Elephas maximus indicus: one gene and its partner. The protein of the gene in region 1 interacts with the protein of each later gene in a pairwise test. Links are inferred from orthologs where the notes say so. Each region holds a gene or a part of one and is shown on either strand. Other genes may lie near its edges.

What was found.
Region 2: the proteins of TNNI3 (region 1) and TNNC2 interact in binary tests that used the Homo sapiens proteins (3 or more experiments, as listed by UniProt). The two-hybrid records come from large-scale screens. The link is inferred for Elephas maximus indicus from reciprocal best matches to the Homo sapiens genes TNNI3 and TNNC2.

The regions. Positions count from the first base shown.
Region 1 is NC_064829.1:91,883,053-91,899,195, reverse strand, and holds TNNI3 (troponin I, cardiac muscle), read right to left. Parts: upstream 7,262-16,143; 5' UTR 7,213-7,261; coding exon 7,202-7,212; intron 6,889-7,201; coding exon 6,876-6,888; intron 6,717-6,875; coding exon 6,630-6,716; intron 6,183-6,629; coding exon 6,141-6,182; intron 5,747-6,140; coding exon 5,615-5,746; intron 5,108-5,614; coding exon 5,018-5,107; intron 4,221-5,017; coding exon 4,044-4,220; intron 3,341-4,043; coding exon 3,257-3,340; 3' UTR 3,220-3,256; downstream 1-3,219. Other genes in the region: DNAAF3 (dynein axonemal assembly factor 3), read right to left, coding at 8,120-8,633, 8,716-8,790, 9,002-9,116, 10,081-10,210, 10,682-10,804, 10,886-11,011, 11,536-11,718, 11,998-12,155. UniProt on the Homo sapiens protein: Troponin I is the inhibitory subunit of troponin, the thin filament regulatory complex which confers calcium-sensitivity to striated muscle actomyosin ATPase activity.
Region 2 is NC_064843.1:23,412,579-23,428,518, forward strand, and holds TNNC2 (troponin C, skeletal muscle), read left to right. Parts: upstream 1-7,634; 5' UTR 7,635-7,686; coding exon 7,687-7,689; intron 7,690-9,160; coding exon 9,161-9,212; intron 9,213-9,384; coding exon 9,385-9,528; intron 9,529-9,620; coding exon 9,621-9,735; intron 9,736-9,876; coding exon 9,877-10,013; intron 10,014-10,266; coding exon 10,267-10,298; 3' UTR 10,299-10,431; downstream 10,432-15,940. Other genes in the region: SNX21 (sorting nexin-21), read right to left, coding at 1,875-2,032, 2,532-2,784. UniProt on the Homo sapiens protein: Troponin is the central regulatory protein of striated muscle contraction. Tn consists of three components: Tn-I which is the inhibitor of actomyosin ATPase, Tn-T which contains the binding site for tropomyosin and Tn-C.

The DNA of each region.
Region 1 (16,143 bases):
ATGTCCCCATTTGACACCAGTAAATCCTCATATTTCTAGATTCTGAGACCCCAGTTTCTGAAACTCACAAACTCTGGGTCCCTCAAATCTTGAGATCCCTAGATTCCAAGATTCCAGATTGTTACCTCAGATTCTGAGATCCCCAAACCCTGAACTCCTCAATTCCTAATACCTGGGATTTAGATATCCTAATTCTAATCCTCCAAAACCTAACACTTCAAATCTTGAACCTCTATTTTGGTACCCCAAAATGATACAACTCCCCTTTCTGAGATCTTAAATCCTGAAACCCCAATACTGACACCCCCAAATATCAACACTCTTGATCCTGAGACCCCAATTCTTGATGATCTAGATTATGGACCTAAACATCCAGATATCCCCAGGACCATCTTAATTCTGAACTCTCCAGATTATGAGACCCCAAAATCCCAATACGCAAGCTCTGAGGCCCAAATCATAATACCCCCAAATTATGAGACTACAAATGCTGATTGCTTCCATCATAATATTTCAGATTGAGACCTCGATTCCTAAAACCGCAGATTCGAACCCTCCCCCCATATCTGATACCATCAGAGTTTAAGATCCCAAATCTTGATACCCAGACTATTGGACCTCCAAACCCAGATACCCCCAATTTCTGAGATCTTCCTAGACTCTGAGACACTGGGTCCTAAATGTTATATTCTGGGGCACCCAAATTCTGGCACCCCAGGTTCTATTAGCCCCAAATCCTAATAGTCTTCCCTCAATCCTGAGTCCCCCTGAAGCCTGAACCTCCCAAACTCTCAGACCTCAATCTTTATGCCCCTTTTACCCCCATACTTTCTCCTCTCTACCCCTCATCTCCCCCACCCCTCTCCTTTCCCCTACCACATCATCTGCGGAGACTCCAGGGCCCCCATTACCTAAAGCTGGGTCTTCAGATGCTGTGAAGGGCTAAGTAGATCAGCAGTGTTGGGGCTGAAGCATCCCCTGGGTTTATAGCCTCTGGCTCAGCCCCGCCCCAGGGGGAGAAGGAGGGAGGGAATTCCTTTCCCCAAACAAAAGTCCTGGCTCAGAGTCTGCCCTGCCCCCTCTGGCTCCAAGTTCTCCATAGTGACCTCCCCTGGCTGCTCCAAGGCCCCTGCCCCACCCCCATGAGCACCTCCTTAGAATCCCACCCCTCTGGACTCTCAGTGCTCTGTGTTGCCTCCATTATAGGGCGCATCACCTGGGCTTTGAAGTCCCTGGGTCCAGGACACTGTAAGCCCCGTTGTCACTGACTCAGTTTCGACTCATGGCGACCCCGTGTGTTACAGACTAGAACTTCACTCCATAGGGCATGTTATGGATTGAATTGTGTCCGCCAAAATGTGTGTTGTAATTCCTAATCTGTATACTTATGGAGGAGACCTGGTGGCACAGTGGTTAAGAGCTCGGCTACTAACCAAAAGGTCAGCAGTTCGAATCCAGCAGCAGCTCCTTGGAAACCCTACAGGGCAGTTCTACTCTGTCCTATAAGGTTGCTATGAGTCAGAATTGACTCCACAGGAACTTTTTTTTAAGTACTTGTAGATGTAATCCCATTTGGGAATTATTTATATGTCAATGAAGCCATATCAGTGGAGGGTGTATTTTAAACCAATCACCTTTGAGGTACTATAAACCAAGCTGATTAGGCAAGGAGAAGGAAGCAGAGATGGGAGGAAATAGATACCATACCACATGAAGATCACCAAGGAACCAAGAAACAAAGACCTTCCTCCCCAGTCAACAGACAGAAAGCCTTCTCCTAGAGCCAGTGCCCTGAATCTGGACTTCTAGCCTCCTGAACTATGAGAAAATAAACTTCTGTTTATTGAAGACACCCACTTGTGGTATTTCTGTTATAGTAGCACTAGATAAGACATGGTTTTCTTAGCTGTAATTTTTATGGAAGCCAGGCCTTTCTTCAGTGGTGCTGCTGAGTGAGTTCGAACAACAAACCCTTAGGTTAGTAATTGACCACAAACTGTTAATTGAGCACAAACTTTATGTCCCACTCAGAGACTTTCAGCGCACAATAGGTCTTGAAAACACCTATCGATTTTTGACCAATGGTGTACAAACGACACTTTGTTTCCACCTGGCTGGTGCCTTTTCCTGGGTCTCTCTGGCCCTCCAGCTCTCCAACTCTGTTTCAGTTTTGTCTCTTTGTTGTCTCTGTGACTGCCCATGCGTGTATGTGTGTGTGTGTGTCTCTACTTCTCAGTCTCCCCCCGCCACCGCCTTTGTCCATCTCTCTGTCTCCCCATCCCCATCCCCGCCCATTTGTCACCGCCAGGATTCCACTCTGGTGACAGCAGGCACTAAAGCTGGGAAGCAGGTGTGTGTGTGCGTAGGGGGGTGAGAGGGGAGAGAGATGGGGTGTCAATTAGCCCAAGTGCAACCTCATCCCCCACTTCCATATGACACAGATCTTTTTTGGTATCCCCCCACTCCCCTCCCCCTCCAAGCCATGACCTTGAATTCTTTACCCCTCCAAGCCTCTCAGTATCTCTGCCTGTCTCCTGTCTCTGGTTTTGTTTCTCTGCTGTTCTCTGGGTCTCTTTCTGGGAATCTGTTTGGGATTGTCTCTGTCTCTCTCCATGTCTCTGCCTCTTCCTGGGTCCCTCTGCATGTTTCTCATTCTGCAGGTCTCTCCCTGTATTTTTGTCTCTGCACTTCTGTTGTCTCTGAGAATCAGCCCCTCTCAGTGTCTGAGTCTCTTGGTGCATCTCTGTAGGTAACTCTGCTTCTGTCTCTCTTTGGCTCTATGCCTGTATTATGCCTCTATCTTTCTAGGTCTTTCTAGGTGTCTGTGTCTCTGCAGCTGTGCCTTGTTGGGCCTCTACTTCTGTCTTACAGGGTGTCTGGTGTGTCTGTATCTATATCTCTGCATTTCTCCTTTCTTTGCCCTTCTTCCTCTGTATCTCTGGCACACTCTCTTTCTCTGTGTCTCTGACTCAGTCCCTCTGACATGGATGTCTCTCTGCCCATCTGTCTTTGGGCATTGGTCTCAGCGTTTCTGTTCACCCCCTCCCATGTAGCAGAGAAGTCAAGAACACCCCGAGTTGGAGACCCAGCTCTGCCCCGACACGCTGTGTGGCTTTGAAGGAGCCCTGCCCTCAGTTTTCCTGTTTCTCTCATCCCAAAGCCCCCAGGTGATAAATACACAGTCAGTCCCAGTTCAGAGAGAAGTTTCTTTATTCCTCAGGGCCATCCTCAGGGCCAGGGCAATGGGCAGGCAGGCTCAGCCCTCAAACTTTTTCTTGCGGCCCTCCATTCCACTCAGAGCATCAATATTCTTTCGCCAGTCTCCCACCTCTCGGTTTTCCTGGGAGGGATAAGGCCAGACGTTAGGTTTCTTCCTGGTCTCTAGTCCTTCAAGTATCCCCCACCTGCCCTACACCTTGATGCGCTACTCTACTATGGATGACTGTCCAAGGATCTGGTTCGGGAACACTTCTTGTCCCCACAGACAATCCCTGCCAAGTTGCCACATGCATTTCCTGTTTCCCACATGCATTTCCTGCCTTCCACATGTACTCCCTGTCTCCCACATACCCCCCCAACCTCCTTGCATGCTTCCTTCCTTCCTAATGCATTTTCTGTCTTCCCCATCCATTTTCTGTCTCCCTCATGCACTTCCTGTTTTCCTTATATACTTCCTACCTTCCTGCTTACTTGCTCTTTCGCTATTATACTTCCTGTCTTTCCCTTCTTGTCTCCCTCGTTCACCCCCTGATCTACGCATGTACTTTCTCTCTCATTCACTTCCTGTAGCCATCATCCACTTCCTGACTCCTTGCTACTTCCTCTCTCCCTTTTACACTTCCTGTCTTCCCCCTCTACTTCCTGTCTTCCTCTTGCATGTGCTGTGTTCTGCCTATACTTCCCAGTGAAGACTACCTACCAGCTGCCTTTCCTCTCAACTCCATGGACTACCTGTCTTCAGGCTATGTCCTGGGATTATTACCACCACCCCCCCACAGCCCGCCACCTCAGCACCCCCTTTCCTGGCCCTAGCCCACACTCACCTTCTCAGTGTCCTCCTTCTTCACCTGCTTGAGGTGGGCCCGCAGGTCAAAGGTCTCCTTAGCTCGGGTTCCCAGCAGCGCCTGCATCATGACATCTGCAGAGATGCGCACCCTCCGTAGGGTGGGCCGCTTAAACTTGCCCCGAAGGTCGTAGATCTTCTGAGTCAGATCTGCAATCTGGAGGCCAGAGGAGAGGTAGAGACCCTTCCCTCTGCTTCCCCTTCAACCAGCCCTTCCACCCTACAATTCCCTCCTATCCCTATCCTGCCTTCCAGTACCCAGGTCTCATCCAGGCTTTCCCCAGCTCAGGCGCCCACCACTTTCAGGACAAAGTCCAAACTCCTCATCCTGGAACTCAAGGCCCTCCCTGATCTTCCCCAGCTTCATCTCTCAAAACCAGAAGATATATCCCAGTCCAGGTACATGCATCTCTCAGTTCCCGGGCCTGTCCCTCAGCGTTTTTTATGAGACAAACATATGTTCTGCTTTGATACCTCCTGGCTTTTGTATTTGCTGTTTCTTTTGCCTGGAACAGCCTTTCTTGACCACATCATACTAATTTATCTGTCCTCTCCCCACCAGAGTCGGAATTGACTCGACGGCAACGGGTTTGTTTTTTTTTTCCTCCCTGCCAGCCTCACAGAGTTGCCCTGGACCTCCTGGGAACCCCAACTGCAGGGGTCAGGCTGGGACCACAGCCCCAGGCATCTCACTGGACCCTGTTGTTACTGTTCTTAGGTGCCATCGAGTTGATTTCTGACTCATGGCAACGCTACGCGACAGAGAACTGCCCTCACTGAGTTTTTTAAGCTGTAATCTTTACGGGTGCAGATTGCTAGGTCTTTCTCACTTGGAACCCCTGGGTGGGTTCAAACTACCAATCTTTCGGTTAGCAGTCAAGCACTTAACCATTTCGCCACCAGGGCTCCTTCACTGGACCCTGGAGGTACCCCAAGCTGCCCACTGTCGCCCACCTCTGTGATGTTCTTGTTAACTTTTGCCTCTACATCGTATCTCTCTTCATCCACCTTGTCCACACGGGCGTGAAGCTGTCGGCACAAGTCCTGGTGGAGAAACGTGGAATCTGTGGTGGGGGGAAGGCTGGAGATCCAGACTGCTGGGTCTGAGGAAGGAGGTGGCTGGGAGCCCAGACTTTGGGCCTGAGGGAGGAAGGGGATGCGGGCCCAGGCTCCTGAGTCTGAGGAAGGAGGGACTGGAGTTTTGGACTCCTGGATCTGACTGAGGAAGAATCTGGGGGTCCTGGACTCCTGGTCCTGAAGGAGGAGGGGGCTGGAAACCTGAACTTCTGGTCCTGTAGGAGGAGGTTGGGAACCTGACCTCCAGGGAACTGCCAACACAGGAGCTAGGAGCCAGGACTCATGAGAATCTGGAGGAATTAGGGCAGGCCCTGCTTCTGAACTCCTGAGAGGTAAGGACTGGGAGATTGGACTCCTGGGTCTTGAGCAGATGGAGGAATAATTACGGTACTCTCCTTCCCACAGGATGCAAGACTGGAGACTAGGAACCTTGGCTCGCAGGCGGGGCAGGAGTCGTGCCCTGGGAGCCGGTACCTGCAGCTCCGCGAAGCCCAGGCCGGCCAGCTCCAGAGGCTGGCACCGGGTGCTCAGGGCACGCCCCTTCTCTCCGCGCCGCTCCTCTGCTTCCCGTTCCAGCTCCTGCTTCGCAATCTGCAGCATCAGGGTCTGCAGGAGTGGAAGGGGATCCCACCCAGGGGAATCACTTCTGCCATGCCCCACCCTCCAACCCCAGGCCGGTCTGTCCTCTGTCTCCCAGAGACCGCTCACTCAAGGTTGGTGTTTTTCATCTCAAAGCTCCGCCCCTCCCTTAGTAAGGCTCTGCCATAAAACCACGCCCACCCAGTCTGGCTCCAAAGCCCCGCCCTTCAAGGTTGATGTCCGTCACCTCAAAGCACCGCTCCTCCCTTAGCCACGCCCCTGATGTAAAATCACGCCCTCCCACGCTGGCTCCAAAGCCCCACCCCTTCTATGTATTCGAAGCCCCATCCCAAGCAACACTTTAACTTTTAACCCCGCCCCTTTGAAGATCCCTATGTTTCTTCTCCCCGCCTATCCTCACCTTCAGCTGTAGTTTTCTCGAGGCCGAGATCTTAGACTTTTTCTGAAGGGTGAGATGTAGCAAAGAAAGGTCAAGGAGGGCAATCACAAGGAGGAAGGCTCTCCAGAACCCACCCCCTCAAGCGAGGTTCATGCCCACCCCCAATTTCCACCCTCGTTCTACTGGAAGCTACGCCCCTCAGTCCCATTCACCAATCTGAGGTTCTGATTCCAGCTAAGCCCCGCCCCTCCATTCCCTGGCGAATCGGAGTTCTCATGGGCAACGGAGCTATGCCTATAAGGTAAATCTCGCCAATCCGAGTCAGCCTTCTGTAAAACCTCGCCCCATCGTGCAGTTTGGACTCCGCCCAAGCCCCGCCCCATCGAAGTCCTGGTTCCACCCCTTCTTCCGCTTCACCAGTTGCAGCGGCAAGTCCTCACCAATCTGAGCCCAGACGCCTGCGAAGCCCAGCCCCTAGGCCCCTCCCACCACACCGGCCCCGCTTCTCACCTTGGCGTGCGGCTCGATGGCATAGGCACGGTAGTTGGCTGAGGAGCGGCGCCGGATCGGGGGAGGTGCGGGGCGCGGGTCGCCCCGCTGGGGTTGAGAGAGCAGAGCCGCGTCACCACTGGGACTCCACTCGGCCCCTCCCCACGGCCTCTCTTAGGACTGCAGCCTCCTGCCCCAGCCGCCTCCCTGCAGTGCCCACCCAGCCAACAGGGACCCAGCCCACGCCTTAGCGGCCCCCCCCCTTACCGCATCGCTGCTCCTGGAGGGAGAGAAACGGAAAAAAAGGGGTTAATGCTGACCCTGTGTCCTGTCCAATCCGTGTCCTGTCCAATCCGTGTCCTGGGGGACCTAGAAGTCCAGGCCACCAGATCCCACTTCCTCAGTTTCCAGAAGTCTGACCCCAAATTCTTACCTTATTTCGAGACCCAGGAGTCCTGTTCCCTACTTCCCTTCTCAGGACAGTACCCAAACTCGCAGCTCTTACCCCGCTCAAGAACCCGGGAGATCACCCCCATCTCCCACTCCCTTGGGACCTCAGGAATCCAGGTTACCGGTTTGCACCCCTCACTCACTGGTTCTCCATGCTGAGGCTTGAGTCTGGAATTGCAGAAGGCAGAAAACGGGGCAAGGGGCTCTCAGTGTGTGAGTTAGGGGGCGTCCGGCGTGACCTTGGAGGTCCCGGGATGCTCGGTTTCCTCCCTGTTGTTCAAGCCTCACTGAGGACACAGAGATAAAGGGAGAGGACAGAGACTAAATATACTGCCGATGCCTCCGCCCCCTTTCCAGAATGCGAGATAATGGGGCGCGTGAGGGGTGGGGTTGGCTGTGCTTCAGCTGGCTCACCCCTGCCACCTTGGTGGCCTAGTCATCCGGTTCCCCTCATCCCCCAGAACCAGGAGTGCAGGCCCCAGGGCCCTCAATACCCTTCACTAAAATGTAATCTCCATGAGAACTGGAACTTTGTGTTTTTCATCTTTTATAGTCAGTTTGTTGCTTGAAGTGACGATTCAGTTGTAGGGGGTCCAAGCTCCCAAACCACAGCATCTCAGAATCCACCCTCGGTCCATTTGAAAACGCAGAAATCCAGTCTCCAGGCCCCTCCCCTCTATCAGACACCAGAGACAGACGGAGAACAGGAATGACACGGACACACATAGAAGAGAATGCCACTCCTTTTACTGGGACCACTTGGGTGATGACCAGGCCTGGGAAAGAAGGCACTCCCACCCACCAGTTAGGAATGCAGACTTCTGAGACAAGGGGCCGATGCAGACGGCCTGATACCCAGTGGGTTTAGAGTCTCAGGAGTGGAATTTAGGATTCTGAGAGAGCATTCTAGAATACTAGGGATAGACTATAGAAGGCCGTGAATGGAATTTGAAATTCTGGCAACACCTCCAGGGCTGAGTGAGAATCTTGAGAGTAAAACTGAGAATTCTAGTGGTGGGTCTAGAATTATATCCTCTGTGTTACAATTCCAAGGCCTGACTTTAGGATTTAGAGGTGGGGGACTTGGCCTCTAGGAGTCGGGTCAGACTCTTCTGCTTTGGGGTCTGACCTACTGGGGGCATAGCCAAAGCCTCCTGGGGTGGAGCCAGAACCTCCAAGGGGGAACCCTGAGACTCTGAGGGCTGCTTGAGGTACTCAGAGTGTGGGGCCAGGCCTCCAATGTGCTGGGTGAGATCCTCAGGGGGCGGAACCATGGCTTCAGGGGGCGTGACCATGGCTTCAGGAGGTGGAGTCATAGTTTCAGGGGGCGGAGCCATGGATTCTAGAGGCGGGGAAAGGACCTCCGAAGGCCAGACCAGGACTCCTGTGGATGGAGTCTGGGATCCCACGGCTCGGTCAATGTTGCCCGGAGAAGAGTCCCCGGACTTGCAGAAGCGCGCAAAGGTCTCTGAGGACCTAGCCCCTGACAGCGCGGCGAATCCAGCCTCCTGAGCCAGCTCCCCTACCCGGACAGAGAACGCCTGCAGCTGCTCCTGCCGCAGGTCTACCAGATACCTGAAGCCGGAAAGAGGCGAGTTAGGGACCCGCTTTCAGACCCGGACCCTGACTTTCCCAGCCCTGCTCTCCTCTGGCTCACCGAGCTAATTCCACAGTCAGGCGCCCTCCGGGGGCCACGCAGGCCCCGAGCTCAGGGCTGAGAAGGTGGACCATTCTGTGGAGAGAAAGGGGAAGGAGGCAGAGGGTCAGACTCCCAGGTCCTGAGGAAGGAGGAAGCTGACGGCCCAGAATCCTGGGTCTGAGTGAGGAGGGGCAGGGGCTGGACTCCTGGTTCTGAGGGAGGAAGGGTCTGGGGACCCAGCCCTGAATCCATGAGGAGGAGGGTCTGTGAGAGGGAAGCCTGGGTGCCTCCCAGACCCTCTTACCCACAGGCCACATAGAGAAGCTGGAACCGTCCCTTGTAGCAGCTCTTGTGCTGGAGGGTCTGGGCAGAATTGAGAGAAAGGAAGTGGACAGTGAAGGACCTCTGGGCGAAGGCTGCTGTGGAAGAACAGAGAGGGGTCATCCTGCTGGGTGGGGTCACAGGTGTGGGAGTCTGAAACACAGAGAGACATAGATACTGGCAGAGTCTGGGCAGAGGAATGAAGGTTGGAAATAACACTGTGTTTAAGTGTCTGTCATGAAGCCCTTTCTCATCCTTTCTCTTAGGGAGATTCCTGGAAAATTCTGGGGAGATCAGCCTGGCAGGCAGAGATCCACTTTAAAGACCAGACAACAGACTCAAGGGAAGAACAGAGAATGGATGGCTCAGGTCACATGGCGCATCTTCCCTAGAGTGGGACAGACACCCAGGGAGAGCCCGGCCAGCAGATGGTTAGAGGGAAGCATGGTCAGAATTCATGAGAGGGTGTGTGTGTGTTGTGAAATTGGGTCTCCGAAAAGGACTGGGACCTAGCACGCTGTGAGAATGTTCTCAACCAACTTAAACTTCCACACACAGGTAAGTCAGGATTCTATCCGTGGAATTCAGAATTCTAGGAAAAGTGTGAGGATTTAGGAAAGGAAGAAAAACAGCAGTAGAAGAGAGAGATTTGAACCAGGGCTTCGAATTGGTTCCTTCCGGTTTGAACCCCTGCTGAGGATTTGCATTTCCACCCCAGACATACTGAATCAGAATATACACTTTACTAAGATTTCCAGGTGATTCTTATGTATAACAAAATTTGAGAACTGCTGCTGTACTAGAGTAGCCCTGGTGGCACAGTGTTAAGAACTCAGGCCGTTAACCAAAAGGTGGACAGTTCAAATCCAAAAACCGCTCTTTGGAAACCCTACGGGGCAGTTCTACTCTGTTCTATAGGGTCGCTATGAATCTGAATCAACTAGACGGCAACAGGTACTGCCTGGGATCAGGGTGCCGGTTCCACTCTCTGTGTCCGCTGGTCTTCACCATCCCGACCTTTTGCCTCCCATTTCAACAGGGAAGACTGAGTCCCTCGCTTACCAGACTCCAGGTTTCCATCCTCCCCCTGCTGCGCCTGCTCCGGGTCCCGCTGGGCGTCTCTTGGGCGCCGCCAGGCGGCCACCTCCTGGAAGAGCTCTGTCACATTGTGTTGGGTGATTTCGCCCGCGCTCTGGGGAAGGGAAGGGACACGGTAGACACTGGGGCTGGGAACGCGGGGGCGGGGTTTGAGTGAACGAGGCGGGGCTTAGAGTAAGGAGGAGCGAGCGCTGGAACCGAAGTCTAAGAACTCTGGGTGAGCTTGGATCCCAGGGACCCGACCTAAAATCAAAAAGGAGCACTAGAGCGCAAGGACATAGAACCGGGGGCGGGGCCTAGTACCCGGAGGCGGAGCCCTGGATGTTAGGGGTGTGGCCAGGCAGGCAGAAGTGGATACCCGGGCACTGGGAGCGGGGTTTAGTAGCCAAAGGTGCAGCCTAGGAGTTTGGGCGGTGCCTGTATAACAAGGATGGAGGCTCGTCACCAACGGGAGGGACAGAACGTGAAACGCCGGGGCGGCGCCCAGCGGTTTGGCCGCGGGGCCTGGAAGAAAGAGGGAGGGGCTTCAAGTGTCTGCCAAAGCCCCAGCTCGCCCACCGCACACCTTGACCGGCCGCCCGTTGCTGGTCCGCAGGAGACTCTGGTCGTCTGCTTCGATCCCGAAGGCCACGAAGGGGCCCGTGGCGATGTCCCCCCAGTACCCGCGCGCCGCCACGCGCTCCCCACGCTGGGAAAGCAGGGAAAGAGGGGCAAGTGAGACCGCGGTTGGAGAAGGAGGAGCGGGCCAGGGCAGAGGGTGCACACGCACGTGGCTCAGGAGGCGTCCGGACGCTAGGGTACGGTTGGGCAGGTGGTAGGAGCTGGAATCTCTGAGTTCAAAGGCGACGCCTGTGTCCCTCCAGCGCCGGAACTCGCGGGTGTGGATGACCTGACCCTGTGGGGGAAGGAGGGAGGGAGGCCTCAGTAAACTTGGCATCTGGGCCCCCAGCCCCTCCCACATCAGATCCAGGAGTTCAGTTCCCAGCCCCTCCTCCCTCTGACCCAGGAGTCCCGACTCCCAGTCCCTGCACCCTCAGACCCAGGAGGCTCAGCCCCTAGCCCCATCCTCCCTCAGACCCGGGAGTCCAGTCCTTCAGCCACTCTCCCCTCATACCCAGCCCAGTCCCTCGGTCCAGTCCCTCCTCCCTTAGGCCCAGGAGTCCAGTCCCCCAGTTTCCTCTTCCCTCAGCCCCGAGAGTCCTAGCCCCCAGCCTCCTCCCTCAGACCCCGGAATTCAGTCCTCCAGCCCTTCCTCCCTCAGCCCCGACAGTCCCAGCCCCTAACCCCCTCCTCCCTCAGCTCTGGGGGTCCAGTCCTCCAGTCACTCTTCCCTCAGACCCCGGAGCCTAGTCCCTCAGCCACCTCCTCCCTCGGACCCGGGAATCCCGGCCCCCAGCCCCTCCTCGCCGGGCCTCTCACCCCGCGGTCGTGCAGCTTCATGTGCAGGTCCCAATCGCTGACACCGCGCCGGGCGTCGTAGCGGGAGCCCAGGTAGTGGCGCACCCGCAAGTCCCAGAGGCGGCTTATGGGGAAGGCCTCAGGCCCTTTCTCCCCGCCGGCCCAGAAGCGGAACACCGCCTCCAGGGCGTCCCGCTCGCGGAACTTTGTGGGGACAAAGAGAGGGAGACAGGAGTGATGAGACAGCAGCTTCTCTTGCTTCACCCTCCCATCCATTCCGAGGGGTGGAAAGTACTCTCCCATGTCTCAGATGAAGGACCTGAGGCTCAGAGGGCAGAAACCAGCCTCTGGCCCCAGATGCTACAGAGGGAGTCCAATGGGACTCAAATTCATGGCCTCCACCCACTCCATCAACACATATCCCTCAGGACTGCCCATTCCCGTTCTTCCAGCACCCCCGGGAGCCTGGGGGATGGCACCGACCTTGAGGGCGCCCAGGCTGAGCCAGGGCAGCTGCTCTGCCAGGCGGTCGGGCTCGGGGACCAGGTGCGCCAGGCGCTCCGCCTGGGAGCGCACAAAGGCAGCTACTGGGGGACGCAGCAGGGCGTTCCCCCACACCTCCAGGAAGATCTCGCTCCTCTCTGGGGGGGGGGGGAGGGCGGAGAAAATGAGCAGAGGGAGCTGGTGGAGTGAGCCCAAAACAGACCCGGGCTGATGAAGCATTCTCTCTCTAGTGGATATTCATTGATACGCACATCATTATAATTAGTAGTCATAGAATGTATATAACAAGCTCCCTGCCCATTCCAATAACTGCAACATGTAGAATAACTTAACCTAACCTAGGTCTCCTTTCCTGTTCCTCCTCAAACCCCAGGTAACCACAATCCTGAATTTGCTTAAATATATATATGGAAACGCTAGTGGCATAGTGGTTAAGAGCTACCGCTGTGAATCAAAAAGTTGGCAGTTCAAATCCACCAGGCGCTCCTTGGAAACCATATGGGGCAGTTCTACTCTGTCCTATAGGGTCACTATGAATCGGAATAGACTCGATGGCTGCGGGTTTTTTATGTATAGATATGGAGCCCTGGTGGCACACTGGTTAAGCACTCAACTGCTAACCAAAAGTCAGTGGTCAGAACCCACCAGCTGCTCCATGGAAGAAAGATGTGGCAGTCTGTTTCCCTAAAGATTATGGCCTTGGGCCAGCAAAGCAGGGGCGGGGGTTGGGGACCACGGTTTCAGGGGACATCTACATCAACTGGCATAATAAAATCTATTAAGAAAACATTCTCCATCCCACTTTGGAGAGTTGTGTCTGGGGTCTTAAACGCTAGCAAGCAGCCATCTAAGATGCATCAGTTGGTCTCAACCCACCTGGAGCAAAGGAAAATGAAGAACACCAAAGACACAAGGTATTTACGAGCCAAAGAGACAGAAAGGGCCACATAAACCTGAGACCAGAAGAACTAGATGGTGCCTGGCTACAACCAATGACTGCCCTGACAGGGAACACAACAGAGAACCCCTGAGGTGGAGGGGAGCAGTGGGATGCAGACCTCAAATTCTCATAAAAAGACCAGACTTAATGGTCTGACTGAGACTAAAAGGACCCCAGTGGTCATGGTCCCCAGACTTTCTGTTAGCCCAAGACAGGAACCATTCCCAAAGCCAACTCTTCAGACAGGGATTGGACCAGACTATGGCATAGAAAATGATACTGGTGAGGTGTGAGCTTCTTGGATTAAGTAGACACATGAGACTATGTGGGCAGCTCCTGTCTGGAGGGGAGATGAGAAGGCAGAGGGAGTCAGAAGCTGCCTGAATGGACACAAAAATAGAGAGTAGAGAGTAGGAGTGTGCTGTCTGATTAGAGGGAGAGCAATTAGGAGTATATAGCAAGGTGTATATAAATTTTTGTATGAGAGACTGACTTGTAAACTTGCACTTAAAGCACAAAAAAAAAAAAAAAGATTATGGCCTTGGAAACCCTATGGAGCAGTTCTACTCTACCCTACAGAGTCTCTGTCAACTTAACTGCAGTGATTTGTATATATAGTTCTTTTACAAATCTTATAGGCATATAGGAGATAATTATTTATCTTCAGTTGTACTGTTGTTGTTACGTGTTGTTGAGTGGGTTCCAACTCATAGCGACCCTATGTACAACAGAACAAAACACTGCCTGGTCCTGTGCCATCTTCACAGTTGTTATGCTTGAGCCCACTGTTTGTATATGATTAGATATATATACATATATATCATTTCTACATCTCTACATTTATCTAGCTGTATATCTATATCTATCTATAGTTTTTTTAGCTGTATAAGAACCTTATAGGAAAAAACAATGTAGTTTCAAATGTACATGATATGTTGTTGTGTTGTTAGGTGCCATCAAGTCGGTTCCGACTCATAGCGACCCTATGCACAACAGAACGAAACACTGCCCGGTCCTGCGCCATCCTTACAATCGTTATGCTTGAGCCCATTGTTGCAGCCACTGTGTCAATCCACCTCATTGAGGGTCTTCCTCTTTTCCGCTGACCCTGTACTCTGCCAAGCATGATGTCCTTCTCCAGGGACCGATCCCTCCTGACAACATGTCCAAAGTATGTAAGACGCAGTCTCGCCATCCTTGCTTCTAAGGAGCATTCTGGTTGTACTTCTAAGATTTGTTCGTTCTTTTGGCAGTCCATGGTATATTCAATATTCTTTGCCAACACCACAATTCAAAGGCATGAACTCTTCTTCGGTCTTCCTTATTCATTGTCCAGCCTTCACATGCATATGATGTGATTGAAAATACCATGGCTTGGGTCAGGCACACCTTAGTCTTCAGGGTGACATCTTTGCTCTTCAACACTTTAAAGAGGTCCTTTGCAGCAGATTTGCCCAATGCAATGCGTCTTTTGATTTCTTGACTGCTGCTTCCATGGCTGTTGATTGTGGATCCAAGTCAAATGAAATCCTCCACAACTTCAATCTTTTCTCCGTTTATCATGATGTTGCTCATTGGTCCAGTTGTGAGGATTTTTATTTTATGTTGAGGTGCAATCCATACTGAAGGCTATGGTCTTTGATCTTCATTAGTAAGTGCTTCAAGTCCTCTTCACTTTCAGCAGGCAAGGTTGTATCATCTGTGTAACTCAGGTTGTTAATGAGTCTTCCTCCAAACTTGATGCCACATTCTTCTTTATATAGTCCAGCTTCTCATATTATTTGTTCAGCATACAGATTAAATAGCTATGGTGAAAGAATACAACCCTGACGCACACCTTTCCTGACTTTAAGCCAATCAGTATCCCCTTGTTCTGTCCGAACAACTGCCTCTTGATCGATGTAAAGGTTCCTCATGAGCACAATTAAGTGTTCTGGAATTCCCATTCTTCACTGTGTTATCCATAGTTTGTTATGATCCACACAGTCAAATGCCTTTGCATAATCAATAAAACACAGGTAAACATCCTTCTGGTATTCTCTGCTTTCAGCCAGGATCCATCTGACATCAGCAGTGATCTCCCTGGTTTCACGTCCTCTTCCGAAACCGGCCTGATTTCTGGCACTTCCTTGTCGATATACTGCTGCAGCTGTTTTTGAATGATCTTCAGCAGAATTTTGCTTGTGTGTGATATTAATGATATTGTTCTATAATTTCCACATTTGGTTGCATCACCTTTCTTGGGAATAGGCATAAATATGGATCTCTTCCAGTCAGTTGGCCAGGAAGCTGTCTTCCATATTTCTTGGCATAGACGAGTGAGCACCTCCAGCGCTACATCTGTTTGTTGAAACATCTCAATTGATATTCCATCAATTCCTGGAGCCCTGTTTTTCGCCAATGCCTTCAGAGCAGCTTGGACTTCTTCCTTCAGTACCATCGGTTCCTGATCATATGCCACCTCTTGAAATGGTTGAATATCGACTAATTCTTTTTGGTATGATGACTCTGTGTATTCCTTCCATCTTCTTTTGATGCTTCCTGCGTCATTTAATATTTTCCCCATGGAATCCTTCACCATTGCAACTCAAGGCTTGAATTTTTTCTTCAGTTCTTTCAGCTTGAGAAACGCTGAGTGTGTTCTTCCCTTTTGGTTTTCCATCTCCAGCTCTTTGCACATGTCATTGTAATACTTTATTTTGTCTTCTCGAGAGGCGGTTTGAAATCTTCAGTTCATTTACTTCATGAATTCTTCCTTTTGTTTTAGCTGCTCGATGCTCAAGAGCAAGCTTCAGAGTCTCCTCTGACATCCATCTTAGTCTTTTCTTTCTTTCCTGTCTTTTCAGTGACCTCTTGCTTTCTTCACAGATGATGTCCTTGATGTCATTCCACAACTCGTCTGGTCTTCGGTCACTACTGTTCAATGCATCAAATCTATTCTTGAGATGGTCTCCAAATTCAGGTGAGATATACTCAAGGTCATATTTTGGCTCTCGTGGACTTGCTCTGATTTTCTTCAGTTTCGGCTTGAACTTGCATATGAGCAATTGATGGTCTGTTCCACAGTCGGCCCCTGGCCTTGTTCTGACTGATGATATTGAGCTTTTCCATCATCTCTTTCCACAGATGTAGTCAATTTGATTTCTGTGTGTTCCATCTTGCAAGGTCCATGTGTATAGTTCCCG
Region 2 (15,940 bases), on another chromosome or scaffold:
ATCCCAGGAACCATTATTTTGCAGAATACACTTCAGCAAACACTGGCCTATGATAACCCCTTATGTTCATGAAGCTTTTATTTTTATTTTTAATTTTTTTGCAAAAAAATTTTTTACATCCATTATCTCATCTGATCCTTGTAACCTCCCACCAAGACAGGAAATCATGATAGTAGCTCCATGGACTGAACACTCACCCTGTGCTATGTGCTGAACATTTACAGTATTATTTAATCATCACAAGAGCACTGCAAGGAAGGTGTTATTATCTGGTAGGCAGCTGAGGAAGCGGACTGGGGGCGGGGGCAAAGGGCTCAAAGCCTTTCTCTGAGGCACACAGCTGATAAGTGGCCCAGCTGGGATTCAAACCCAGGTAGGTCAGATTCCAAAGCCTGTGCTTTTCCCCCAGAAGTTAGATGGGGACCAGGGGTCCCCAGTGGGCAGAGGAGGTGAACTGCTTCCCCAGACATGGGCCCCCATTCCTCCCTGCCTCTGGGCTGCTCCTAGGTGACTGATTCTTAGTGTCTCCTTCCTGTGCATTACCCCTCATCCATCCTAGAACTCTAAGACCTTTGCCACTTAAGACCTGAGCATCACAGAATCAACCCCTGCTCAAATTGGAGGAGTGTCCCCATGGGTGTGGACCTGTGTACTAACAGCAGCAGAGAGGGGTGGAGAGGCCCAGATGTGGGACAGGGCTCCAGGCCCCCTTCCTGCTGAGTCAGAGGCAGAGGCGGGTGGTGAAGAGGGACGTGAGAGGCAGAGCACCGCCACCACCGCCAGGACTGGCCAGGCCGGGCTGGGTTTCAGGCCTGGCAGGGAGCACAACCTGGTAGACCTCATTCTTCATGCCAGTCCCTCCTCTCCACAGCAAGGAAAATGGGGACTCCAAGGCCTCTCCTCCATGTTACTGTTCACCCCAAGCCCCTACTGGCCTCCTAAGTCTAGCCCTTAGGACAAGATTATACTGTACAGGGTGGGTGCTTGAGAATTGGTTATCCTGGGTTGGAAGGAGGCCACAGGAGGCCCTAGATGCCAGCCATTTTCAACCCAAAGTAAATAATGATATAAAAAAAAACAGCCCATTGCCATTGAGTTGATTCTGACTCGTAGCGACCCTATAGGACAGAGTAGAACTGCCCCATAGGGTTTCCAAGGCTGTAATCTTTATGGAAGCAGACTGCCACATCTTTCTCCCGCGGAGCAGCTGGTGGGTTTGAACAGCGCCAACCTTTCAGTTAGTTGCAGAGTGTTTAACCACTGTACCACCAGGGGTCCTTACACATACATGTCAGAATGCCAGGCAGGCACCATGCTGAAAGCTTTCTGTGCACTGTCTCCTTTAATTCCTGCTACAATCCTCTGATGTAGATATCACTGTCATTATTCCCACTGCCCAGATAAGAACACTGAGGGTCAACAAGGTCACATGACTCTCCCAATACCAAACACCTGAGATCAATCTGGGATCCAGTAAGGGGGATTTGACTCAGCTTGTTCTGGCTCCAAAGCCCACTTCCTTAACCACTAGCCCATGCAATTCAGGTTGCAAGTCTAACCCAGATCATGTCCTTCCCCCTGTTATCTTGCTACAGTTTGCAAAACCCTTTCACACATATAAGTTCTCTGTCCCAAAACTAGACTAGGAGGCAAGTTCATTATCTCCACTTCAGTCAGACTCGGAAAAGCTAAGTCATTTGAGGATCTGCTCAAGTTTCAGCCCCTTCCTGGCCTGGCTTCCCCGTCTGTAAAATGGGGCAGCCATTTCTAACTGTATTCACCCTTCTGCTTCCAAGAAGTTAGAGCCTTCCCTGCTCTCTCTTAGCCATACCATTCTTTTGGGCTCACAGCCCAGGACCTGGACCCTCACTCACCACGTACTTGGAGGGTGGATCCTTGACAACGTTGGCACTAGTCACCTCGAAAAGCAGCCGCTGGGGTACTAGGGTGTTACGGGACTTCTTCCAGAAATCCTGTAGCTGCCGGGCCAGGAGCTGACTGCCCCGAGGACCGTCCGGCGGGGGGCCTGGTTCTGCGGAAGCACACAGGTACTGGTCACATCACCAGGCCTAGGGCCAGGACGCATGTAACCACATGCCAGGAATTCATTTATCCTCTTAAGCTGTAAGACAAGCTTTATCCCCATTTTACAGAAAAGGAAATTGAGGGCCAGTGAGGAGCCGGGTGCCAAGCACAATGTCTGGAACATGGTAGGCGCTGAATAAATATTCTCATCCCGAAGCATCGTCAGCACAGTATTGCCATGTGTATCCCATGCCATACATATGTTTAAAGCCCACACCAGCCCAGAGATGGGGGTGATTTCCCCTATTTGAAGCAGGGGAAAACTTGGCTCAGAGAGGTGTTGTGACTCTCTCAAGGTCACACAGCCAAGAGGTGGCTGGGGCACTTAAAGAAGTGTCGGAATTTCGGCTGGATCAACTCTGAGTGCCCCCAGATGCTCTCGGGAACGCGGCTGGGATGGAGGCCTAACTGAGCTCCAGGGTCTGGTCTCGTCCCCCGACACTCACCTGCGTCTTCTCCCGAAGCCCCATCCCCGGGGGCCAGCGGGTCAGGGCCAGCCTCCTCGTCGTCCTCGTCCTCGTCGTCCTCGGCGCTGGTGAAGCTGAGGGTGCCGCTGAGGCGGGAGGACAGGCCCTCGGCGTCGTCATCCTCTAGCTCCGAGCTCTCCGGGAACTGCTCCGCCTCGGGCCCGGCCGCCGCCTCCCGGGGGCCGTCGCTGGCCAGGGCGTGCCGCAGCCGGTGCAGGAGCCGGGAGGCCATGGCACTCTGGGGGGAGCGCGGCGCTGGGTCCCCACCCGGGAGCAGGACCCAGCCCGCGGGGAGGAGGGGGCGGGCCCGCCCACAGGGGGAGGAGCCGCGGAGGCCCCGCCCTGCCCCGGGGGGCCCAGCGAGTCCTGGGACTCCCGCCCCACCGCCTCCCGGACCTACGCGTCCAGGGCTGCGGTCTTCCCAGAGGGTCCGGTTCCTCCCACGTCCCTGTGCCCCCTTCGCGCGCCTCTACCTCCAGCGCCCAGCGGTGCACTCCGGAGCGCGCCTCCCCTGGGGTCCCCGAGCAGCCCCCAGCGGCTCGCCGAAGCCTCCAGGAGCCGCTGGGCTCCGCCGGACTCAGCCGGGCCCAGTCCGCTCTGAGCGCCGCTCGGGCCTCTTCCTGCCGCCGCCCCGCCTCTGGCCCCGCCCGCTCCCTGGAGCCTCCGGAGAATCCCGGGCCCTTAGCTCCAGGAGAGGCTTGGGGTCATCCCCGGGAGAACTCCAAGCCACCTGCTGATCATCCCCAATCCGTAGGGCGCACACCCTCTTTGTGTCCTTCTACCACTCACAAAGACCCAGGCCGACTCCAGTATTGCCTCCCTCCCCCTCGGTTTCCACCTGATGCTCCACTTTCTCAGGTCCTTATGCGACATTAAATCAAACCGGTTGCTGTCGAGTCGCTTCTGACTTGCAGCGACCCTGTAGGATAGAGTAGAACTGCCCCATAGGGTTCCCAAGAAGCGGCTGTGGATTCGAACTGCTGACATTTTGGCTTGCAGCTGAGCTCTTAACCACTGCTCCACCCATGTGACATTAGGAAGGGCTCCTGTGTGACATTAGGAAGCCCCTTTCTCCAGTGGGGAAACTGAGACCAAGAAAAGACACGTGGCTTGGTGTGGCATCTGACCTAGATTTCCTAGGTTTTCTCTTAACAGAAAACAGGAACAATAGTATCAGTTTTGCAGAGATTGATTGCAGCTCAAGGAAGGTCCCACCCTAGTCCAGCGCCTGCTGCAGGGTGGCCGAGGTATTGATCAGTTACATAACGATCATGGCTTCCACAGGGTTCACAGGCTTTCACAATCCTCTTTGAGCTTCACACTTAGAAAGTAAGCAAACTGGGAAACTGAGACCCAGCCGGCAGAGTTACTTGCCCAAAGCCACAAGCTTACAGAGGTTTCTGGGGATGGGGGCTTGGAGCTCAGGTCTTCTGGGTTCTACAGCCAGTTCTTTCCCATGCTGCAGGCCAGTAATCTCAGCACCTCCTCTGGGGCTGGGTTTTATCTTTTATCCAGAGGGGACCAGTAGGTCAAGAAGATTTTAAGCATGCTTTTTTCTGTTAGAAGGCCTAGCTACCAGTCCCTTGCAGGGCAGATGTTGCTAGTTATGCAATCAAACACAGCCTGACTGTAGTGCCTATCCTTTACATACATATGGAACCCCCGGCAGCTTAGTGGCTAAATTCTATACTTCCTAACCAAAAGGTCAGCAGTTCAAATCCACCAGGTGCTCCTTGGAAACTCTATGGGGCAGTTCTACTCTGTCCTTTACGGTTGCTATGAGTTGGAATTGACTTGCTGGCAACGGGTTTTGTTTTGTTTTATATATATAATTTATTTTGCACCTACCCTTTTTGAGTGGCACAGGGGAGAAGGGTGGAGAGATGAACAGATGATCAGAAGGGGCGGAGCCAGGCACGCATTACCCTATAAACAAGGTACACTGGGGTTTGTGAAGTTGTGCACTACAGATTACTAACACAAGTAAACCCATACATACCGTGCTGGTTAACCCACCCCTGAGTGGAGCTCTCATTTCTCAAGCTTCCACTCTGCCCCGAGTCCTGTTCTAGGCACTTTACATGTTGCCACGCCTCAGCTTCATAGCACCCTGGAGAGGAGGCTATTACTGGACAGTAATGGTCCATTTTCAAGATGAAGAAACCAAGACAAATCAACTTTTCCAAGGTCCACAGCTAGGGAACGGGGGAGCTGGGATTTAAGATGGCAGTGGGTGGGTGGGTGTAACAGCAAAGCTCTAATTCCTCTTCATTCTGCTTACAGGCAGGGTGTTGAGGCAAGAAAGACATCTCATTCATTCATTCAGCATTCATCCATTCACCAAACATTGGCTGAATATTAACTTGACCTTTGGCATATGCGTCGTAAATCTGAGTATAAATTAAAAAACACAAACTTGTTGCCGTCTAGCCAATTCCTACCGAGAGCAACTTTATGTGCTTCAGAGTAGAAGTGTGCTTCACAGGGTTTTCTGGGCTATAATCTTCTGGAAACAGAGTGCTAGGCCTTTCTTCTGAGGCATCACCACTGGGTAGGTTCAAGCTGCCATAGTAGCTGAGTGCAAACCGTTTGTGGCACCCAGGGACCTGGGTACAAAGCAGGGGTTCGTAAAACCTTGGCTGTCAGAGCAGGAGGGTCCCTCAGAAATCTGCTTCCATTTTACAGGCGGGAAGTCTGAGGCTCAGTGAGGGAAAGACCTTCATACTGCCCTGGTTCATACAAATAGGGCCAGAAGCATGGAAGCAGGAGGTCTCCTGATGTCCTGTCTTGTGTTCTCCACTAGTCTTAGACTGTTCAGATATCTCCCTACAGCCTCCGTGAGAGATGGTCATCTAGCTCCTGCTTACGTACATCCAGTGACAGGGAGCTCAGTACCTCCTGAGGCTCTCCATTCCCATTATTGTTAATCTGTGACTATAGGGAAGTTCCTCCTTATATTGAACCAGATTCATTCAGTTCAGTTAATCTTATGTAGAACACCATATTTATTGAACACCCAAGTAAGGTGCCAAGTAAGGAGCCCTGGTGGTGAAGTGGTTAAGCACTTGGCTGCGAATTGAAAGGTCGGTGGTTCAAACCCGCCAGCCACTCTGCAGGAGAAAGATGTGGCAGTCGACTTCAGTAAAGATTACAGACTTGGAAACCCTATGGAGCAATTCTACTCTGTCCTATAGGGTCGCTATGAGCCAGAATCAACTCCACGGCACAGTTAAGTGCCACACGCTGGGTCCTGGGGGATGAGATGGGATACAGGAAACCTTCTGTGGTCTATGGAATGCCGAACAGGCTCAGGGCTTATGACTGAGGAAACTACTGGAGGCCACCCTGGACTCCCCTGGCCTGGCCTTAGAGGAGGAGGGATCCTGGCAGGAAACAAAAACAAAAACAAAAAAAACTCCAAACAAACAAAGAGCATGTGCATAGGCCTGGAGGCTATAAGGGGTGGAGGACTTAAGTATTTAAGACCGACCAGAGTACAGCAACAGGCAAGGTGCAGAGAGCCGGGGGAGTGAGATTGGACTGGTGGGTGGGACCTTACCTATTTCCCTGAATAAACAAAAGAACAAATCAATGAACAAATGATCTCTGAGGGTTCCAGGACCTCTTTTCCAAAGGGACTGGTGTCCAAATTGAAATTCCCTAGGTGTCGCCCCTGGCCCTCTGCCTGGCTGGGGGAGGCCTGATTTAGTCTGGCCTGGCTCCCTACAGCTTTCCTTGGAATGTCTATATATAGGGGGAAGGGGGCAGCCCAGTTGCCACTGTCCATCTGCCTTTCCTGCTGTCCAGCCCCCCTTCCCTGGCTCTAGGAACTGCACTGAGTGGCCTCAGTGCTCATACTGTTGACTTAGCCACTGTCCAGGAGCCTTGCATATTTGGCAACGCCCAGCCTAGACCCTCACGGGTGGACTCCCTTCAGACTTGACTTGCCCACCCCTTCACCCTCCAGATGGCCAGGTGAGCTCCTCCAAACTTCTTCATGGAGCTCTAGGAAGGGGCCAGCTGCCGCTTCACGTACTTAGAGAACTTTCCCCTGACTGCCCGCTCCTCCCCCGCAAAAAAAAAAAAAAAAAAAGAATCCCAATCCCATACATCCTTTTCCTAGAGAAGGTAAGTTTCAGAGAAGAGTCTTTGCTTCCAATGCTTATTTTCTTTCCTCTCTAAATCTGCACTCTCTCCCGGAACCCTCCACACACTTGTTCTGGACACCTGCTGCCGCCCAAAGACTGCCTCAGTTTCTCTCCAGTCAGGATCAATAGTAAGGATCACCAACATAAATACAGACCTTCAGGATTTATAAAGCACTTCAGTAAAAGGGGGGATAATAATAGTTGCTACCTCACAGGATGAATACTTGGTCAGATCATGTGGTTCAAATGCCTAGCGCAGTGTGTGACACACCATAGAGGTTCAATAAATGGCAGCTGTACCTACCACTTCCCCCTCATCCTGTCCCCTACCCCTTACTATGGTTTAAGGACAGGAAATTCCACTTGCCAAGCTCCAACCCCATGTACCTGGCCCAAGTTAGGTGACTTATACCTGGGTTCCCATTTATCACGGTCTCTCTGTGAGGGAGGTTTTAATTATCCCCATTTTGCAGCTGAGGAGACTGAGGCTTACAGAGGCATGACCACTTGCCCGAGGTCACACAGCTTGTAGAGGCATTACTTGGATCTTGTGTTTCACACCACAAGGCTGTGCTCTTCCCACTCTACCATGTTGCCTCACTTTTCTGTTCTGATGATCCTTTCCCATCTTGGAGCAAGTATGCTTCCTGAGCGGAGGGGGGGCGCTCTCCGAGATGGCGGAGCAGGGTGGGTACTCCTCATAAGAATCTAGGACTAGGACATCAAGTCCTGCCACCTGCTCAGAGGCTTAAATTTCTCTGCAAGGGCCCTTGGCTAAATTAGGTAATGGGCTAGGGCTCTGGGAGGGGTGGGGCTTGCTGACCCCAGGATCTGATTGGCCAGGGTATCCAGTCCTGGGGAGCAGGGGGGGTGGGAGGAGGGGGTGCCCCTACAAATCCCGGGGGCTGGAGTGGGCCAGGACATCTTTGGGTGGTGCATTTCAGAGGAGGTGACCTGTGGCAGAGGTGTCCGAGTGACCTGCAACCATGGTAAGGATAAGGAGGGACTCTTTTCCCTCACTCGCTGGGGTGCCTCTGGGCTTCTCTGAGGACGGATCTGGGTGCTCTGGGGGGCAGTAACTTGGATGTTTGCAGAAGAGTGTGAAGTTTCCTTGGAACCCAAGTTTCTTGAAGAAAGCCTGGGAAGAAGTCCCTCAACTTCTCTTGGAAGGGGAAGGGCCGGGATATTCCAGGGATTGATCCTCAAGGCTTGCTGATTCTTCTAGACCTTCTGGGACTTCCAGCAATGTCAGTCATAGAGCTGTGAGGGGTTCTTAGCTTGGCTCTCTCATGGTACAGATGGGGACCCTGAGAGCCAGAGTGAGTTGACAAAGGTCAGCCAGTGAGCCAGTGGCAAGAGTGGGCTAGAAGCCTGGCCAAACCTACTACTGTCAGTGACAGGAAAAGGCTCCCTTGGAAGTAAGGAGGCCTGCAACACCTGGGAACAGCTCAGGGGCAGGGCCCCAAGAGCCCTGAGGCTGATGGGAAAGGATAGACGATAACAGACTAGAATTAGAGACACAGATTCTCAGAGACTGGTCCTGGTTTGGGGTTGTCATTTTCCTCTGAGACTCCCCTCCCCACTTCAAGGAGTAACCAGACCCCAAGGACCAGCTGCTGTTGCCCACACCTGACTAAAAATAGCCTGCCCTCCTGGCATAGGGAAAGGGAGGGGGAGGGGAGAAAGGAGCAGGGCCAGAGGCCGAAGAACTCCTTGGACATCTCAGCCCTTCCTTGCTGCCAGCCTCCTTGCAACAGCCCCTCCTCCATGCAACCTACCCAGATGGTCTGGCTTGGATGTGACTGGAAACCCTCGCAGCAGTCTTATTTTCACCCCCTGAAGGGCTGCATCCCATTCTGCCCAGCATGAGAGTCTTTAATGATTGACTCATAAGAAGGAATCTCAACATTTGGAGCTGCATCTCTTCAAGTTCTCAGAATAACGGGTCCCACTCTTCTTGGTGGTTCCAATACTTGCTTGTGGCCTGACACATAGTAGGTGCTCAAGAACTTTGTGTTGCATTATTATTTACAAACATTTACTGAGTACCTACTAAAGCATTTGGCACCATTAGGAGCTAGGAAAAACTGGAAAATCATGCTGGAAAGGTGCTGGTGCTTTACAAAACTCTAACGCAAACATGATTTCGTCTCTATGATGAATTTCAATCACAGTTCTGAGTGATTTGCTCATCGTCACAGGGGCACGGTGTTCCTAATTTGGCCTCAGATTGACCAGTAAGGAGGCCTTAGACATAATCTACATCTTCTTCTTAGTTCTTCTAAATGTGGCTGGGTGCTGGGAGGCCATGAAGGAGGTGTGACAAATTTGGACCTGGTCTTCTGGAGGAAGTGGGGGTGGGGGTGCTTACAGAAATGGGGGTTGGGGAGAATGGAGCTATGGCAAGGATCTGTGCTATGGCTGCCCTTTCTGCTCTCTGACTCTCTGTGTCTTCTGCAGACGGACCAGCAGGCTGAGGCTCGGTCCTACCTCAGCGAGGAGATGATTGCTGGTGAGTGAGGTTGGCCGGCTGGGTGTTTGCAGCTGCGTGTGTGTGGGGGGGGGGCGGGGGGGGTGTCTGGTGTAGAGCAGGGTGGAAGGGCAAGTGTATCTATGATGGGGGCTCTGGAGGTGACAGCAAACCCAGGTTCCACTCAGCCCTGGGCCCTCATCCCCCCTGGCAGAGTTCAAGGCTGCCTTTGATATGTTCGACGCTGATGGTGGCGGTGACATCAGTGTCAAGGAGTTGGGCACCGTGATGAGGATGCTTGGCCAGACACCCACCAAAGAGGAGTTGGATGCCATCATCGAGGAGGTGGATGAGGATGGTGAGTGGGTGGCCCTTCGTGGCAGGTGTGGTGATGGCGAGGAGAAGCAGGCACCTGGGGCTCAGGCCCACTTGGCCACCCTCTCCCCTCAGGCAGCGGCACCATCGACTTCGAGGAGTTCTTGGTCATGATGGTGCGCCAGATGAAAGAGGATGCAAAGGGCAAGACCGAGGAGGAGCTGGCCGAATGTTTCCGCATTTTCGACAGGTGCACTGGGGGCCTGGGAGCTTGGTCGGCAGGCAGGGAGCCAAGGTTCTCTGGGGTGAGGATGTGGGAGAACTGTCCCGCATGGCCAGGGCAGCTAGCTGGTCCAGTCCCTGAGCCTGGTCTTGCCCCTCTGCCCTGAAGGAACGCAGATGGCTACATCGACCCGGAGGAGCTGGCTGAGATTTTCAGAGCTTCCGGGGAGCACGTGACAGACGAGGAGATTGAGTCCCTAATGAAAGACGGAGACAAGAACAACGATGGCCGCATCGACTTCGATGGTGAGGGCCGCGGGGGCGGAGAAGGGGGCCACGCGGGAGCGTCCAGGGAGCACGTGGGTGCGGTTGGCACCCACCTGGGTGTCCTTGGCCTTGAGGGCAGGGCTGGGCCTAGCTTGACCGGGACCGGGTCCCCCACCCCTGCGAGCCGGTATTGCGCTGGGGCACCTTGGTGCTATTTATCAATTGATGACATGGCGCCCCTCGCCGTGGCCGTAGCCAGCATCCTTGGCGCTTGTTGTCTCCTTCCCCGCAGAGTTCCTGAAGATGATGGAGGGCGTGCAGTAAGGAGTCGGGCCTGCGCCTAGAACGCACCTCCCCCGGGCGCGGGCGGCTCCGCCCTGTCCCCGCCCGGTTCCACCTCCGCCCGGGAGAAAGGCGCGGATCCTTCTGGCTCTGTGTCTGGAACGAATAAAATCAAGCCTTGGAAAGCGCGTGGCTTCAGTGACCGGAGGGCCGGGATATCGGGTCTCAGGGCCGTCTGGATGGCGCTCCAGGGGGGTGGGCGGTGGGCTGGGAGCTGAGGGACGCGGAAGGGCGTCGGGGTGCGGGAGCGGAGGCGGCGGTCGCCCTGTGCTGGGCTGCGCTAGTTGAGGTCGGCGGGTTAGTGGCCGGCTACCCGCAGCTGGAGCTGGGCTTGTGTAGCTCCGCGGACGTGCATCGGCTGCGGCTGGTGCTGGAGGAGGGAGGCCGCAGGGGTTTCGAGCTGAGTCGGGTGAGCCTGCGGAGGGAGCTCGGGTTGGGGTGGGAGGGTATAGGCTGAGGGCGCAGCAGGAGGTTGGGACCCGGGCGGCAGAGCCCTGCAGTCCCCTCACCTCTCCACCTGCCTTTCTGGAGCCTTTGGGTATTGGGTACCGTACTCGCCACACCTTACGCAGGCCACCGGTCTGGGGAGCTGGGAGTGTGTTGTGTGCTCACCCACCCCAGCATGGTTTCTGCCTGTCTGTTCTTCCGCGGGCTAACGGGATGCGAGGTACCGTCGATGGTAGGTAGGCGTGAGGATGGCAACACAGCCATGAAGGGGTGGTGACCTGTCATCTCGACCCTGGATCCCTGCCTGCCTCGTCAAGTCTCCCTGCCCTATGCCCCCTCCGATGCGCTCAACAGAGGGCCACCATCATGATCAGGCTAGAGAGAACTCTTATCCGGCCACTTCCTGTTGGAAGCCCTCCGAGGCTCCTCATTGCTTCTAGGATCTAAATCCAAATTCCTCCCTCTGCTCCCCTCCCCCCATGCCCCCTTGCGGATTTCCAGCCACACTGGGAAACCAACCATTCTTGATAGGAACAGGCATGCACTTTCAAGGCTTTGGGCCTTTGCACGTGTTCTTGCGTGAAACGCCTTTCCTCCTGACAAATTCTTCAACTCACAAGATCCCATTCTCATACCATCTTCTCCTTCCTTGATCCCTCTGGCTGCCGACTCTGGCTCCTGGAGCTCTTTGTCCAAAACACAATTATAGCAGGCATCGGGCTGTAAGTGTAGTGATAGTTTAGCTTTAGAGTAGGCTGGCTGAGTTTGAATCTCGTATTAAACTACTCTGTGCCTCATTTTCCTCATCTGTGAAATGGAGATAATGACAGTAGGACTTACCTCACAGGGTTGTGTGCAAAGTGCGTGGTACAGTGCCTAGCACCTAGTAACCACCTTAATAAATACTAACCATATGCTGTGGGGTCAATTCTGACTCATGGTGACCCCCATGTGTTTCAGGGTAGAACTGTGCTCCATAAGGTTTTCAATGGCTGTGACCTTTTGCAAGCAGATCACCAGCCAGGCCTTTCTTCTAAGGTACCCCTGGATGGGTTTGGACCAACGACCTTTGGTTTATAGTCAAGCACTTAACTATGTGTGCCACCCAGGGAGTGCTTTTAATACATGCTGTTAATTATTATCATTATCACCATCATCATTCTTTTTGTTCTAAATTTTATTTATTTTGTTGTTGGGAATATACACAGCAAAACATAACACCAACAGTTTCAACATGTGCAATTTAGTGACACTGATTACATTTTTCGAGTTGTGTGACCATTCTCACACTCCTTTTCTGAATTGTTCCTCCTTCATTAAGATAAACTTACTGCCTCCTAAGGTTCCTATCTTTTGAGTTGCTGTTGTCACCTTCATCATTCTTTTTTCATTTTTATTTACTTTATTGTGCTTTAAGTGAAAGTTTACAAATCAAGTCAGTTTCTCACACAAAAACTCATATATACCTTGCTACATACTCCCAGTTGCTCTCCCCCTAATGAAACAGCCCACTCCCACCCTCCACTCTCTCTTTTCGTGTCCATTTCGCCAGCTTCTAACCCCCTCTACCCTCTCATCTCCCCTCCAGACAGGAGATGCCAACATAGTCTCAAGTGTCCACCTGATCCAAGAAGCTCACTCCTCACCAGCATCCCTCTCCATCCCATTGTCCACTCCAGTCCCTGTCTGAAGAGTTGGCTTTGGGAATGGTTCCTGTCCTGGGCCAACAGAAGGTCTGGGGGCCATGACCACCGGGGTCCTTCTAGTCTCAGACCTTCGTTATTCTTGAAACACTGAACTCTCCTTACTCATTGCTGCAGCCCTTTCATGTTCTCTTCTCCCCTTTCTATCGGATTCGTAAGTCTCCAGTTTGTATTTCCAGCCAGGATCAGTGCTGGAGTTTAATAATGACCGCATTTATCGAATGCCTACTATGTGCTATGCATTGAATGCGTTGTCTCATTTCACCCACACAACAACCTTAGAGGCAAGGCCCTTTGTGGTTGGACACCTGTGCTACTCCGCCAGCCTGTCTTCCTCCTTTTCTCCCCATGTTCTTATCTACCTCCGGGGCTCAATCGCCTCTGGAAAGGCTTCCCTGACCCTCTTATTCTGCCTTAGGTGCCTGACCTCTGTGCTTTCATAGCAACTTGTGAGTCCCATACACATTTATTGATGACTTACTATGTGCCAGGCGCTGTCCTAAGATCATTATGACTATCCTATGAGGCAGGTACTCGTATTTTCATTTTAACAGAAATTGTTGCCACAGAGTCAATTCTGACTCCTAAAAAATTCCTAGCAACCCTGGAAGACGGTAGAACTGCTCCATAGGGTTTCCAAGGCTGTAATCTTTATGGAAGCAGACTGCCACATCTTTCTTCGGAAGAGCGGCCGGTGGGTTTGAACCAGGGCTTCAAACAGGTTCCTTCTGGTTCAAACCCTTGCTGAGAAGTTGCATTTCTAACAAGTTCCCAGGCAATGCTAATGCTGCTGGTTAGGGACCAATTCTGAGAACTGTTAATAAAGCAGTGGTTCTCAAAATTTATTACACATAAGAATCACCTGGGGATGTTTTGAAATGTTGATTCTGATTCAGTATATCTAGGGTGGAAATGCAAAATTTCAACAGGGGTTCAGACCAGAATGAACCCGGCTCTAACTGTCGACCTCTTGGTTAGCGGCTGAGCACTTAACCACAGCACCAAAAACAAAAGGGCTTTTTTACAGAGAGGTTAAGTATAAATGTGTTTATAAGCTGCATGTGGTGGACCCAGGATTCTAATAGTTGTTTAAGCTGCGTGGTCTGAGCTCTTAACCACCACTCTGTAGAGCACTTACTTATTCTACTGTGTAATTGATGTGTCTATCCACCCCCTAAACTTCAGCCTCTTTGAAGACAAGACTGTCTTTTTCTCTGATTTATCACCAGCCGCAAACACAGGACCTTTACCTTGTAGGCTTTTGATGATTGCATTGAATGGAATGGGAGTAATAATACTTTCTAATACTTACCCTAAGGAATTCTGGTGGCACAATGGTTAGGCGCTTCGCTGCTAACCGAAAGGTTGGCAGTTCGACCCCACCCAGCGGCTCCATGGGAGAAAGACCTGTGATCTGCTTCTGTAAGATTACACCCTAGAAAGCCCTATGGGCAGCTCTACTCTGTCACATGGGGCCTCCATGAGTCAAAAGCACCCAACAACAACACTTATTCTAGTACCTTCTTCGTTTCAAGTGACAGAAAGTTAAAGGTCAAATTGATTTAAGCCAATGCTTATGAAACTGAGAAGTCACAGCATGGACTGGAGGCTAGAGTCTCCTGTGTCACCTCTCTCTCAGCTATTGGCCTCTGCTTGGCTGCTTCCATCTGCAGCTGTCTCCATCAGCAGCCCAGACTTACTGCCCCCCCGTCCCCCTTTTAGTAACCCAATTAGTAAAAGATTTTCTCTACCAGTGATTAATTCCAAGGAAGTCTCTGATTGGTTCTGAACGACAGAGTAGATTGACATAAAGTAGGTCATGTGACAATCTGGGGGACCAAACACCATAACTGATGATCACACAGAGAGATTTTTCCCAAAGACAGACAAAACTCTGGTCCCCTCGGCCACCACCTATGAAGGACCAATTTAGTGTCAGGTACTGAGCTCTGCTCCTGTCAGACATCCTCTGAGCCAGTGATTTTCAAACTGGAGCAAGTATCAGAATCACCTGGAGAGCCTAACAGATGGGGGCTGATAATTTACAGTTCCAACAAGCTCCCAGCTGATGCCTGAGCAGCTGGAAGGACCACATGTGAACAATCCCTCTAAACCTTTAACTAGACCAGCAGCAATGACATCACCTGGGAACTGATGAGAAAGGACTCTCAGGCCTTTCCGTCATCCCTCGCCCCAGGTCTACCTAATCAAAATTTGCATTTTACCCAGATCCTCACTTTAGACTGTGAAGCACCGCCCTGAGCCTCAGGAGAGGGCTAAGAGCACAATGAGGAAACTCAGCAGAAGACTACTGCATTTCAATTCCAGCTCTGACAACTCAAGTTTTTTTTCACATGTGGTTGCCTGATGTGGAGATAGGGCAGAGGACAGGGGCCTGGGCTAGCAGTTGGAAGAGAAAGGGGCAGGTAGGAACCCTCCTGACAGGTGCCCCTGCTGTCTCCTTCTGCTCCAGCCACTCACAGGCCTGCAGGACCAGCTGCTGGGGTAGCTGACCGGTTTGGGTGCTGAGCCTAAGACCTGGGCCGTCTTGGAGCACACCTGGGTGCTGTGCTTGTCCACCTTGGAGGTATTCCTACAGGACCTGGGCTGGGCTGATCACCTCTGCCTGCTCTTCACCTTGCCTGCCCCTGGCCCGGTGTGGACCCAGCTGGTCAGTACTGGTGTCTCCTCCCAGGGGCCCAAAGACTGCAGTGGGCCAGTGGGAAGGTGACTCGAGGGGCTAGGAGCCTGTGCCAGTGGGTAGTGGCTGGAGGAGCTGCTGGCAGAGATGGAGCAGGAGGTGAATGTACTCCCTTGGTGCATGGAGCCATCCATGGGGGACCTGGGACTGGAAATAAGCCCAGAGCTCGCTCAGTCCTGAGGATTCTGACAGGGAAGGGGCTCCCTCTCACTGCGTCCTCAGACCCTGGGCCTGCTGTAGGGTGGCCTGAGCCTTCTTATTTTCAGGGCCAGAACACCTTCTAGTGCCAGAAGGTGGGTAGCTGGTCTCTCACCTCGCCTCAACACGCACCCCCTTTTTGTTTCAGCCCAAGGTCTGGCTCAGGCTTATCTGCAGCACACTGGGACAAAGTCCACTAACACTCCTTGTACACCTCACAACTTCACAGAAACAGGCATCACTGTGATGCCTATCATACAAATGAGGAAAAGAGATACACAGCTGTAAAATAAGGTCACAAGGGAACAAATCCTAGTCACACCACTGCTGGGCCCCACAGCTTAGCATTTGCTTCTCCTCTTTGGGGAAAAGGGCAAGAGCCCAGGTAGATCCTAAGCTTGACCTCCATGGACATGGCTGGACCTCCAACTCTAGAATAACTGTAAGGGAGCCCCTTGCAAAAGAAAAACAAAACAAAACCCAAAATGTATTTATTCAATATATTCATAAAGGGCTCAAATGGAGACATAATTTAAAAAACAAACAAACAAAAAATGACGTCACAGCTTAAGATA